Linked DNA regions of Oryzias latipes. The protein of the gene in region 2 interacts with the protein of the main gene of each other region in a pairwise test. Links are inferred from orthologs where the notes say so. Each region holds a gene or a part of one and is shown on either strand. Other genes may lie near its edges. The genes, in order: neuronal PAS domain-containing protein 2, aryl hydrocarbon receptor nuclear translocator-like protein 1 and endothelial PAS domain-containing protein 1.

What was found.
Region 1: the proteins of aryl hydrocarbon receptor nuclear translocator-like protein 1 (region 2) and neuronal PAS domain-containing protein 2 interact in binary tests that used the Homo sapiens proteins (3 or more experiments, as listed by UniProt). The link is inferred for Oryzias latipes from reciprocal best matches to the Homo sapiens genes BMAL1 and NPAS2.
Region 3: the proteins of aryl hydrocarbon receptor nuclear translocator-like protein 1 (region 2) and endothelial PAS domain-containing protein 1 interact in binary tests that used the Homo sapiens proteins (3 or more experiments, as listed by UniProt). The link is inferred for Oryzias latipes from reciprocal best matches to the Homo sapiens genes BMAL1 and EPAS1.

Annotation. Positions count from the first base shown.
Region 1 is NC_019872.2:16,625,658-16,629,654, forward strand, and holds the end of neuronal PAS domain-containing protein 2, read left to right. Parts: intron 1-47; coding exon 48-140; intron 141-224; coding exon 225-435; intron 436-700; coding exon 701-904; 3' UTR 905-3,654; downstream 3,655-3,997. UniProt on the Homo sapiens protein: Transcriptional activator which forms a core component of the circadian clock.
Region 2 is NC_019864.2:422,989-427,520, forward strand, and holds the start of aryl hydrocarbon receptor nuclear translocator-like protein 1, read right to left. Parts: upstream 2,918-4,532; 5' UTR 2,430-2,917; intron 1-2,429. UniProt on the Homo sapiens protein: Transcriptional activator which forms a core component of the circadian clock.
Region 3 is NC_019873.2:14,261,371-14,265,986, reverse strand, and holds the start of endothelial PAS domain-containing protein 1, read right to left. Parts: upstream 3,158-4,616; 5' UTR 2,744-3,157; coding exon 2,718-2,743; intron 1-2,717.

The DNA.
Region 1 (3,997 bases), on a different chromosome or scaffold from region 2:
GCACGGCTCATGCAGGTCCTCCACTGAAAGATTTCATTTTTTAACAGGATGCTCCTCAATCAGCCAATGCAGACTCTGGTCCCTACAAGCAGTGTCACCTCACAGCCTTCCCAGTGCAACATGGGTATCTCCCAAACCCTGTAAGCCATCAGATTACACACACACGCACGCTCACGGTTGCTGCGTGTTGGTCACAGTATGTCTGACTGCGTTCCTCCATGCAGATACAACCTGGAACAGCCAATCATCGCCCCCTCCTTCTCCATGCAGCAGGTCAACTGCAACGCCCTGCTTGTGCCCTCGCCAGTGTTCACGTCCCCCATAATGATCCCACACAACACCTTCATCACACATCAGTCCCAGCCAGCCTACCACTCTCAGCCTCAGGCCTCACAGCATTCCCTGCAGCTTCAGCAGCCACAGCAGTTCTTTCAGGTACAAAATTCACAAGTTTGATGAATCATGTGAGCATTTCAGGTAATATAAGCTAAACTTAATCATTAGAGAGCCGGTAATAGAGACAGATGGTATGCCAATCCCTATATATGAGAATAATTTACCATATAATAAAAAAAAAATAGACAAAATACTACAAAAGATGAGAATTAATTTGAAAAATTGATGGTAACGAGTTTTGAAATGCTAAGTTGGACAATAGAAGAAAGGCCAGAACACATTCATGCTCTCTTTTTTTGTGCAGATGACTCAAGGACTTGTTCACAGTGGATCCACTCAAGCTTTCTTACAAACCACTAATGTCTCACAGCAAAGCACCGTGGGATACATTCAGCAGCAGCCACAGTCACAGCAGCTGTCACTGACGCAACAGCAGCAACGGCAGTACCAACATTCCCAAAACCAAACTGGCAACGTTTCAGAGTTCCGAAACATGTTGACTCGGTAGCACCGCGGACTCAGTCCGAGCACTAAAATCTGCCGCTGTGGCGCGGCTCTTCAGGCGCCGTTGTGATCGGTCAAACTTTACTGGAAGACCCCCCTCCCCCCAGGACACGGGAGACCGTTCGCGGGGGATCTGACCTTTGACGTAAAGCCGCCTGTTCTGAGGAAGCCGGCACACAAGGTGCCGCAGACTGCACTGACCCAACGTGGGCTGCAGGATCTGAGCAGAGCCTGAGGTCGCCGGGCCTTCATCAGAGTCATCACAAGGCCACATCGCACCAGGAGGAGGTTTAAGGCCCACATGTGGAAGGTCCTCTTTTTCAGTGTCTGTTTGTAGCCTGATACCCTACCCGAGAGTCAAATATTTATTGTTGACCCATAAATTAATGTTCGGCTTCACTTTGAGATTATCTATTAAATCTTAAGTCTGACACCCCATCCCACAGTGACACATCTTTAAAACGTCTTTAGTCAAAACAAAAAGTGTCACAGCTCTTTAACGGTACCCACCGTCTCTCAAACTGCACGCAGAGACAAGCTTTACAGTGCAATACAACCTTAAGGCAACCGTCATATCAAAGCATGTTATTAGCAGATCCGATGGATGTTACACGGAACTGCTGGAAGCCGGGATCGTCTTCAACCGTATGGAAGGTCGATCTAGATTTTTAAAGCCTCAATCCGAACTGAAGAACGGGTGCTGTGAAATTCCTAGAACTTCTTACACAAAGCTCTGAAATTGTAGTTTTAGTTGCTTCTGAGAAGTTATGCAGTCCTAAAATAAATAAAGAACAGCCACCAAAGGGGGGAAACTTGTGCCTTCAGCCATACCTGTTGTGGTTTGATAGTTTTGTCTGATTACGGCTTTAAAAATCCAGCTCAGGTCCATTTGAGAAATAAAAGGTTTATTTTCATAAGAGTATAATTCTAATTTTCTGCATCAGATTGAAAATATATTACGAAAATAGATTTGTATTGGATATATTACATACATAAATACTGTGTAATGGGTGACTTGAAACCTTTACATGTTTGGCTAGTCTCCAATTCCCTGAAAGTGTCTGTAGTGATGATATCAGATATAAATGGAATTATTATTTTTAAAAAAAAGTATATGATGAAAAAAATCCATTTTATACACAAAAGTTTTAATAGATTTTTGTGTCATTTTAGACAATGAGAGGTCAATCCTGCTCCCTGGTCCTTGTGTCTTGTCCCGTTCATGGTTTAATAAAACATCTTTTCCATGCACCACCACTGATTGGCACGTGGTGTTTTCTTGAACGCATTTGATTGTAGTGCAACAACACACTGCTGCAGATTTTATTCAGGCCTGGTCAGTCTTTTAGTCGTTACCGGGAGATTCTATTATTTTATTAAAGAGTAAATGTTTAGTCCAACTGATTAGTATTTTATTCAAACAGAAAAATTCGGATGTGCCCTATTCCTGAAAAAGAAAATCAAAGCTGCATTTCTCTTAAGGATCATTGTCACTGTGTGAAAATGTTACAATCTTTTTGTGTTGCATCATTTAAACTTTTCTAGCCACATTGGGGAATAATCCGCACTTTTTCTTTGTGCTGGTTTAATGATAGAATTGATGATGTGTAACGACTAATCTGCTTTGCACTTTTGTCTTTGCCAGTTTGGGATTTAAAGACGAACAAACGAATTTATAAGCCGGAGGAATAATGCAGCATTGTGCGCTCTTTGCAGTTCCCAGAGCTCAATAGCAATGCAATGACAGTTGCAACAAACAGTTAGGATGAATGGAGCATGTTGTCGAAACTCGATTCCAGAAGACAAAGAAATGCTTTTAAGCAGGGATGAAATCTTGATAAACCAGTTTGAAACAAAAAAAAACTTTTACACTGGCCCAGTTTTACAGGAAACCCACTTTTGTTGCCACACTTTATAAAAGGCAGACTGCCACCACAGATTAGATGTGCAAGTCCCATTAGAGAGTGGTGCTGCCCGTTTTTTGCACAAGTTGCACCACTCAGCATGTGCGTTCAGTGCTGTTTTACACTTTTTATTTTTTTAAATGTGCAATTCAAAAGAAGAATGTTAATTTATACTGTTTGCAATGTTTCAGAACAGATGTATATTTAGATGAGTTATATGCAGCTGTAATTTATATGGAGAAAATTTTAATGGAAATGTCCAAACATTCCTGTAACCGCATCTTTTTGTTTGGATGTTAGTCCTCCGAAGAGCAGGATCACACAGGGTCTTTTTTGTGTGTGCATGTGTGTGCACAACTAGTTGCTTGCTAACCAAACACACATTTCTAAAGTGGAGGTTCATGCATTCACCATAGAAAAGGAGATTACGGGGGGAAGATTCAGTTTCTCCATCTGTTGGACAGATACTCAGCCAAAATAAAATAGTGACAAGAAAAAGTGCAATTTGTCTACCATCATCCAGTCCTTTTATTCATGATATGAAAAGTCTAAATTTGTGTCTTAGCCACTGGGTTGCTTCCATTTCTCTTACCCAGTAAGGGGTTATGAACTAAGGTCTGGCTATACAAGAAACTCAACAGGTGCCATTGTTATGAATCCACTGTTTTCTGCCTACAGTAGTCGATATTAAAAAAAAAAGACAAGATAACTTGATTTTAAAGTTAAATATACAGAGATTTATAGTACTGGAGATATTCTAAGAATGCAATTCCCTTTTTTATTTTCTGTTTCAGAAGTATTACTTTCAATTGTTTGCCTTGTGGAAGTACCCAAGAAAAAAAAAAAACAATCGATCAAACTCCAGTGTTCAGTGTAAATGATTTTGCATGGGATGTAAGGTGATCTTCATTTTGTTATACTTCACAAAGGCTGTATATAAAGGCACCTGCAGTGTTTGTAGTTAAAATGCCCTAAAGTTGCTCATGCATCCGTTTTTTTTTATTCCAAGTTCAGATCGCTTTCTTTACGAGGCTTTTCATCTAGTGTGAGTTTTTGTTCTTGAAGGTATGTGATTTGACCTTATTTCACATGTTTTGCTTTTTTTTTTTTACTGATCGCCATATGAACGCCACCCTCGTGTGAGCAGAGGAATGCTTTCTGTGCAAGACGCAGAGGTGAGAGAAGAAACCAGG
Region 2 (4,532 bases):
TGCTAGAATTTCAGCTGACTCACTTTAGTGCCTCTCCAGCTTAACACCATAGCCTTTTAAATAAAAATGCATAGGTGCATTGTTCTAAAATGTATGGCACATCTTGAACAAAAACAAGACTAATGCATTTTTTTTAAATACCTTAGTCATCTTTCACAAAAGTCTTTGTCACAGAGTCAGAACATGCAAAGTCAGGGGTAAATGGTAAATGGCGTATACTTATATAGTGCCTTTCTTCCTACAATGACAAAGTGCTTTACAGTCACAGACCCATTCACCCAGTCACACACACATTCACACACTGGCGCCCGCCTCCCACCAGAGGCAAGGTGTGGTTTAGTGTCTTGCCCAAGGACACTTCGACACATGGGCGTGCAAGGCGGGAATCGAACCTGCAACCTTACGATCATGGGACGACCGCCCTATCACTGCAACACGGCCGCCCCTCTACAAGCTTCAACACTTAAGAGCCATTCAGGTCCATTTGTTGCTGACCACAACCCAATAAACGCCACAAAGTCTGACTTCACCCTTTAAGAAAATAAAACATTTATATTTAGGTTCTTGTTGTTATTATGATATATATAGATCGACTGTTGCATAAATAAAACTTAAAGCTAGGATTTCATATTTTCTAAATATGAAGTGGTGTATCACTTTTGACAGAGTTTAAAATGACTTCCTTTCAAAATAAAAAACACCCCGTGTCATTAAATCATCTCAATGCAGCAGATTTAGTGTAATTGTAGTATAATGTCAAGAGGATTTTAAAAAACACTGTTGATTTTAATGTTTGTGGTACAGCCAGAAATGTGAAAAACTAACTAATCAAAATTAAATCAGAGCCAATTAAGAAATCCTTAATGTATTTTTAACTATCCGGTGCACTTAAAATCCTTGAAGTTGTTAAAAGAAAGAAAAAGAAAATCTGACTTAGGAACCACTACACCTCAACTCCGGTTGTGATCACCCATCTTTACTTGAGTTTCTGTGGAGCATAAACCTGTCAAAATGTTTCAGTCTGTTCTGTATTTCCACATCTGTGAATGAGTTGAATAAAGTTTGAGTTAGTCTACTTTTTAGCCCTACTGTACTACTTTATTGTTTCTTTATCCAGACTGACTTTAGCCCTTTATCCATGGCTAAAAGAGCCTCGTGTGGCAGCGGAGGTTATTTGGACGTTTTTGATCCAAATCCCACAGTTTACATTGTTTACATTAAAAATGTTGAGTGAAATTAAAAGACTTGAGGAATAATACCCTTCAAATGAATATTCCTGCAGACCAACAAAACCACATGATTCTCCAGAAGAATGTCTGATGACAGAAACACTTCAGAACTTCTCCTTGGTTTAATTTTCATGTGCAGTTTGGTGTAAACAGCGGCTCAGACAAGAGAGAGAGCAGCTTTTGCTGAGTCATCACAAGCTGCTGCTGCTGCTTTCTAGATGCTATCGTGAAGATCAGCACCAAAGCAGCTGCAGCGTCACGTCTGAGGTCCAGTCAGAACCACGACGAGCCCGGTACCGAACGGTAGACCCGCCGAGACTGATGCCGGCTGAGCAGCAGGAAAGGGAGGCACGAGCCTGACTCGAGACGGACAGTCAAAAGACGTCAACTGAAAAAAACAAACATTTCAATATATGGATCCCGTCTACTCAGCTCTGATTGAACCGTAAGAATACAAGCTTGATGGTTGCAGCACGATGATGAGGAAGGAATCGAACCACAGACCGCCGAGTCCCCAGTGAGTTGGGGTGGGAGACCAGCGGGGTCCCTCCGCAGTCAAACCCTGTGGCGGGGCTCAGACCGGGGAACCCCGGCTGCTCCGGAGCCACAGCGACATCCATCACTCTCTGCCAATGAATTCCAGCACGAACACTTCAGAAGACGCACGCGCGTGGCGTGGGGTTGCGACAACAAGCGGGTCCGCTCGGTTCCGTTCGGTTCTCTGCGGACAGATGTGGTTCTAGGAAATTGCAGCAGCAGGTTGGATGCTGTCGAAGAAACCGTGCGCCGAGCCCCAGTCCCGGCCTTTTTTTTTTTTTTACATCGTTAGCCTGCTAGCGCGGTGGCCGCGGTTGACCGTCCGCCGCTCGGTCACGCCTGGGCAGCGTTATCCAGCTCACGGGCCGGTGCTTCCCCGTCCCGGAGCCTCTTCGTAGCCCGACAATAGCTGGCAAAGAACGAGCCCGCACCAAAAGCCCGGCGGCTTCTGCTCCCGTAATCCAGAACACAAAGTCATCTTAGCGAGCTAATATTAGCACACAGCTGCTAACTACGGAACGCTAACTCCGAGACTTGGCCGCCGAGCTCCCGCTGACATGACTGCACAGCGCCGGGAAAACATCGAAGATCTCCACCGTGATTTAAACCCAGCCGAGTCACACAAAAAGACAAAGCGTTCGCTCGCCCTCAATTAGTACTTACAGACCGCCCGGAGTGACCCGTGGATCCATGGACAGCCGCCGGTGAGAAAGCAGTAGAGACACACAGAAGAACTGTGACATAAACGATTTTCAATCGGTGACCCACTTTCTTTTCACCGTCATGCCTGTCGGACCACTAACCTAGTTTTTCAGCCAATAGCGTTTGCTCATTGGCACTGGGTATTCCTCCGACCAATCAAACGCAAGCTTAGTCTGGAGAACCATGATTGACGTGCTGATTGACCAATGAGAGGAGAATTAGCCTAGGAATGCAGGGGCCAGTTATGTGTGCGTCTGTGTGTGTGAAAAGGAAAAGACTGAACCAAGCCGAGAGCAAGTACGCTCGTAACACTTACTGGTCCCGAGCCAAAAAAAATAAAATAAAACAAAGAAAGATAAAAAAATCACACATGAAATGTCAACTAATTTAACAGAATTACGGATACATCAGGTGGACAGAAGATAAAAACTGAACATAATTCAAGGAGTAAAGTAACAAAACATTTTAAGTCAGTATCTGTTTTTATTGATTGTGTTCATCTAAAAAAATGATTTCCATTAAAGTCATCATTACTTGAGTTCAAGCATTTTTTTAAATTAGAAATAGTTGCCGGAAAAATATTTGAGGAGCCTTCAAAGAAAAAAACCTAGTTTAGATTTACAGATTTAGACAAGTTGACTTTATACTTTCACTCCCTCTTCTGGCCATAAATAGTAATGATGCCATTTCTAGATTAACAATAAAAAAAGACTTGTATTACTAAACTTATGCTTGTCATACGGTAATTGATCCCTTCAAAGAAGGAAAAGTGAATTAATGTTTATTGTTTAAATGGTCAGTTTGAAAATAAATACTAACCCAATGAATATGCATTTTAAATATAAGATGTTTCTGACTTTGATGCAATAAAACATGTTAGTATTGTTTAAAACTACCTATTTGCTTTTTTGCTTCAAAAAGCTGTAAAAGTAGCAGCTGGAAGTTTAAAACAACACATTGTTGGCTCAAAAGAACAAAAGTTCTTTTATAGGTTTCTAAATGTTTTTTTGGTGTTGGCCATCCTATCTTTCTGATTTGATTTTACAGAAGAGCCCCTGCAGACCTTGAGGTCCTCTGATACTAGCCTCTCAGTTCTTCCAAAAGCCAGAACTAAAACCCACGGCGAGGCCTCGTTCCGTTTTTATGGATCTTTTCTGTGGAACATCCTCCCAGAGAACCTCAGGGTCACGGACACTGTTCATGTTTTTAAAGGAAGGCTCAACACCTCCCTTTTTTAATTTGGCTGAAATGTAGGATCTTTTTAGATATTGAATTTTTTTAATGTCACTTCTGTTTTTACTTCTTTGAATTTATCTTTTTAATGCATTGTCAACGATTGACTGTTTATTCATTTGATTGACAACCTTTTTCACTTTTATGTATTTGATTCCTTTTACATTTAGTTTTAGCTCCAGTGTTTTCCTCAGACGGATCCTCCACATCGGGGATTGGATCTTCTCGGTGAACAGGGTCGCTGCAGTGGGATCTCCTGGGTCTGGCTCCTTGCTTTGATCGGGGAATCCTAGCCTCCTTGAATAGGAGTTTGTGGGGCAAATGGTAAATGGTAAATGGCGTATACTTATATAGCGCTTTCTACCTTCTTACGAAGGCCCAAAGCGCTTTAATGTCACAGTCCCATTCACCCATGCACACACACATTCACACACTGATGGCGGCTCCGCTGCCAAACACTGGCGCCAACCTCCCACCAGAGGCAAGGTGGGGTTCAGTGTCTTGCCCAAGGACGCTTCGGCACATGGGCGTGCAAGGCGGGAATCGAACCTGCAATCTTACGATCATGAGTCGACCGCCCTACCACTGCACCACGGCCGCCCACAGGCGAGGGACTCAACCTCAAGGGACTGTGCTGTCCTCTCTCCTGTTCACTCTGTACACATAGGACTTCACCTACAACTCCCACCTCTGACACCTGCAGAAGTTTTCAGATAACGGTGCTATTGGGGGCTGTGTTTCAGGGGGGGGGCCATCTCTGACTTTGTTAGCTGGTGTGAAGTTAACCACCTGCTGCTTAACACCAGCAAGACAAAGGAGCTGGTCCTGGAC
Region 3 (4,616 bases), on a different chromosome or scaffold from region 2:
GTAGTGGAAGAATCATGAAAAGGGTTCTTTGTGCAGGAAAAGCTAAACTTGAGCAACTTGTACAGGAATCAAACATGAACCCCTCGGTAAACTAGGGCATTCTAGAGGCCTCTATGCGGCTTTTATCCAACAGCTACAGCTTATTTTAAAACAAATGAAGCCATACAAGAACAACGATCCTCAATAGTTGTCAATCCACCACTTCACATTTGAGGGTAAAAATAGAAAAGAGGGAACCCAAGTCAAAGTCCACAGCTTAGCTTGATTAAAATGTCGATGCACGGACTGTGAACAAAAAAAGAAAAACAAGTCCTGCTGACGAGACTGAGCTCAAGAAGAAGTGATCTAAACTTCTCCAGTCACTAAGAAGAGACTTTTCTTTAACTTGTTGAATAAAAAAGGGCAGGAATGATGATCCAACATCCACTATATGCTTAATGATATCTACACTAAAACAAGTTTAACAAATTGCCATAAATCCTTGTCAGACTTTGATGACAGATGAAATTTTGACTCCAGGTTGGAGCTTAGACTTAAATGTGGCTGAAAGATCTTATCCTGCACAATTTATTTGATGTTTGCCTTCATCACTGACAACAACCTCAGCAATATTGTCTATTTATTTAGAATCAACCATCTATTCTGATCCAATTGCATTACAGGCCTTAATGTTGCATTTCTCAGAAGGGATACTTCAATTCCAAGCAGAAAGTGGGAAGAACCAGTTCAAAACAGCAAATTCTAACATTAAACCAGCAAATTTCATGTAAGGATGTGAGAATGGAAACACCTAAATCCCCCTAAAACATGTTTATACATAATTTGGATATAAAAGTAGATAAGAAATAAACTAATTTGGGTCAATTTCTCTCAGGTGACTTTTTTTTTAAACCAAATTACTAAATGCAACTTATTTACTAATTAATTTAATCATTTTTAGATGTCAGAAAATGTCTGGTTAGCTTCAAAAAAACACGACTAAATTAATTAAATTTGATTTTTCAAACTTTTGAGAAGAGCTATTGTTTATGATAAATCTAGAAAAAAATAAAATGACAAGTAACAGTATGATGAGACAAAGGGCCTTAAAACATTCTACCAGTGGGCTGCAACTTTGAAAGGACATTTGCTGTTAACACGGTGTGAAAAAAAAAGTACCATAAGTTAAAAACGTGCAAAATGTGAGCACAATGTGTGCGAAATGGCAAACTGAAACTGATAGAATTCCTGCATTAAATGCATTTGTGTGAGATTTAACAGAACTTTTTGCAACATTTCTAAGAGTCTAAGAAGCCAAATACTTTTTAGCTGTTTTTTTCTAATTAAAATAAGATTTACCACTTACAATATACCATACAATACCATATAGAGAGACATTGTATACATGAGATTCAAGCTTAAAACAAACCAGTGGAAAAGGCATAAAAGTTAGTCTCTTCCTTTTATTTTAAATAGGTAATTTATCCAAAAAGTAACATAATATTTAGAATATATAAAAATATATTTGATGGAGACAATTCATGTAAGTGGGGATAAAAATGAAGGTAATCACTATATCAAAATAACTTATTTCAATAAAAGCATTTAAGTTAAAGAATGTGTCCAGTTTTTGTTTTCCTTATTTTTTTTAAAACAATCTACTTTTCACTAAAAAATTTAAACATAAATCTTCAGATTGATAAAATGATTACCTAGCCTAAGTGCTTAAATTAAAGATAAAATAAATAAATCTATTATGATGGTGCTTTGAAAAAAAAAACTTTAATTGTGTTTTTCCTAACTTGCAGGTCTTTCAAAACATTTGCTTAAGCTTCTGTCTGCAGTTAAAATACTTGCTGTGCTAATATTTGGGTTGAACTGGACAGACGAGAAAGCCTTAAGTAAACACAATTAAACACAATTTCGCCCCATGATCTCTCCATTAGTCATTTGAATATGCAAGAAAAACTACAGACTCAAACTGTGCCACATTGATTGAAAGGATCAGACCTCGTCACGTGGGCACAGGTGAACTAGAAATTTGCACACGACACTAATGTACGCAAAAGTCCTTGTATATGCCCTTCTATGCTAACGTTTCTTGGATTGATATTTCCCAAAAAAATTAAGAAAAAAAATCCAAGAGGAAATCACACTGACAGTAAGGATGCCTATAAATTTCTGAAGCCATCAGCAGTTATTGTCCTTTTACAGACATCTTGGATTTTTCAAAACCAGAGGTGAAGGATACAAATATTACTTTTCTGCTTATAATTGACTATTAACATTTTGAATAACTAAAACTAAAAATGATATTAATATCCTGCTTAAATATTGACATCCCAGTGTACTATTGTCAGTCCATAGAATTGGCAGGAAGGTAAGGTTTTATTTTGAAAAACCTCAAGCAACATGAAAAAAATACTCATTAAGCCATTCAGTGTGTTTACAGCGTATCACCCGGTAAACGCGTCGTTAAATCTGATTTGATTTTTATGTTTATTTTTTAACTACATCACGTTTTATAGGTTGTTAAGACCCATTAAAGCTTTACTAAATATCATCATGATATCAGGCCGAGAACACAGCAGCAACAGGTCCCTGCTTCTACCTTAAATACACAAATAAATAAATAAATAAATAAATAAATAAATAAATAAATAAATAAATACTATTATGAATTAAGAAAGTCAAAGCGCATGCGCACGTAAGAAAAACAGATAGATTTCTGCTCTTACCTCTTCTTTTCCTTGTCAGCTGTCATAGTTTGGCTTACTCAGACGCAGAGCAGTAACTCCACTCAAGTTTAATTTAAAAGTTAGTAGACGTATTTCTTTTTTTTTGGAGGAAAGGGGAGTGCCGCTTTTAGGCCAAAGAGCGCAGGTGAGAAGAAGTCCCTCTATGCGATGAGTAAGTCCATGGAACCCTGGCTGGAAGAAAGCGTCCGGGCTTGTAAGAGAAGGGGGCTTCGGGGGGGGGGGCGTACAGTCTCAGAACACTGCCGAGGATTGTACGGCCTCTTCTTTCCCCGCTCACAGGACACCTCTTGCAGGTTTGGAAGGGAACGCCGAGCCGCTGCTGCTGTCGACACGAGCTGCTTGTCAAAACTTTTTTCCCTCGCGGACTGACAGAAGTCCCCGCAGAAGCTGCGCGGTCTCTGACCCGAATGTCAGCTGGCACGGTGACAGCCGTTTTCCAGCGCTGATTGGCTAAAACCACAACAGGGATCCACCCCTCTGTAAAGAGCCCGCCCCCTTCCAGCGCGAGCCGAACTTCTACCTGCTTGTCTCTGCGGCGCAACAGGTGTGAGGAGCTGGGACCTTTTCCCGCCACAGCAGCTGCCAAATTCGACGCGTTTCATTAAAAACATAAAATTGTTCAAAGAAAATTGTTTCTCTGAAATTATTGTTTAAAAAAAACTTTTTCTAGATTAGAACACTAATTAATGAGTGGATATTTTTTTATTTCTTAGAAAATAACATTTTCCACAATCCGCCCAACAAAATGTATCATAACGTGCAAATTGTTGGAAAATAAATAAATAAATAAAAATAGTGGTGTTTTTTTCCTGTTAAACAGCAGACTTCAACAGCCTTCAAACTGTGTCATAAAAGCCAAAAACATTTTTCCTTTACAACCAAAACAATTCGTCAACCTCGAAATTTACTATTGACTTCACCAACTGTATTTTATATATATATATATATATATATATATATATATATATATATATATATATATATATATATATATATATACATACATACATACATATCAAATGAAGACTAAAATTAAGAGATAACAGCTTTTCTTAATATAATACATTTATACCATATTATACCATTATAGTTAAATACTGCTTAATTATTCATTAACTAACAATAATAAATTGATTTTTAGGTTACCTTAAAAATATTTATTTAATGCTAATTATTGCAGTATCAACATTTTATGTAATTTATTAATATTTTTTATATGTACATATCCTTCTTCCCCAAAAAAAGACAGCATTGCATACATTGTTCCACAAAGAATACAGATGCAGTCCCTCAGCTAAGTTGTAAACTTACAAACTCCTAACTGGCTCTGGCACAGTAGTCAAAGGTAGGACAGCAGGTGTGTAAGCATGGTATGAGATAAAAACTGAGGATGCAGCCTCTGATGTATCTGGACTTTTAGATTGGTATAGCTCCACTGCAGTAACCTTTGTGATCCACTATCCTTGGTGATCCAAGACGGTAAGTGCAGGGGGTAAAATGCTCCTGACAAACAACTCCAGATGTCACTCTGGTCTTTTTCTAATTCCTCTTGGCCATGACGGTGTCTCCAGGTGGTTAAAAGGAAAGACGCATGATGACAGCAGCAGAAAAGTCAATTGACACACTTTGACTGAAGATGTTTCTTATTGGTGGAGACTGTTTTGGGGATCTTTTTCCCCATGGAGAGTTCAGCTTGGCTGACTCCAGTAGTGATGCAGGGTGTTGAACATATGAGGGCAAGACGTTTCTTTGCTGTTGTTACTGTTTTCTCTCCATGGATGTTTCCTTGAGGCATGGTGCAGATTCATGATGGCATTTTGCAGTTTGCAGTTGTCTATTGTGGCAGCTTTAACTGTTTTTGAAAAACCGCAAACAATA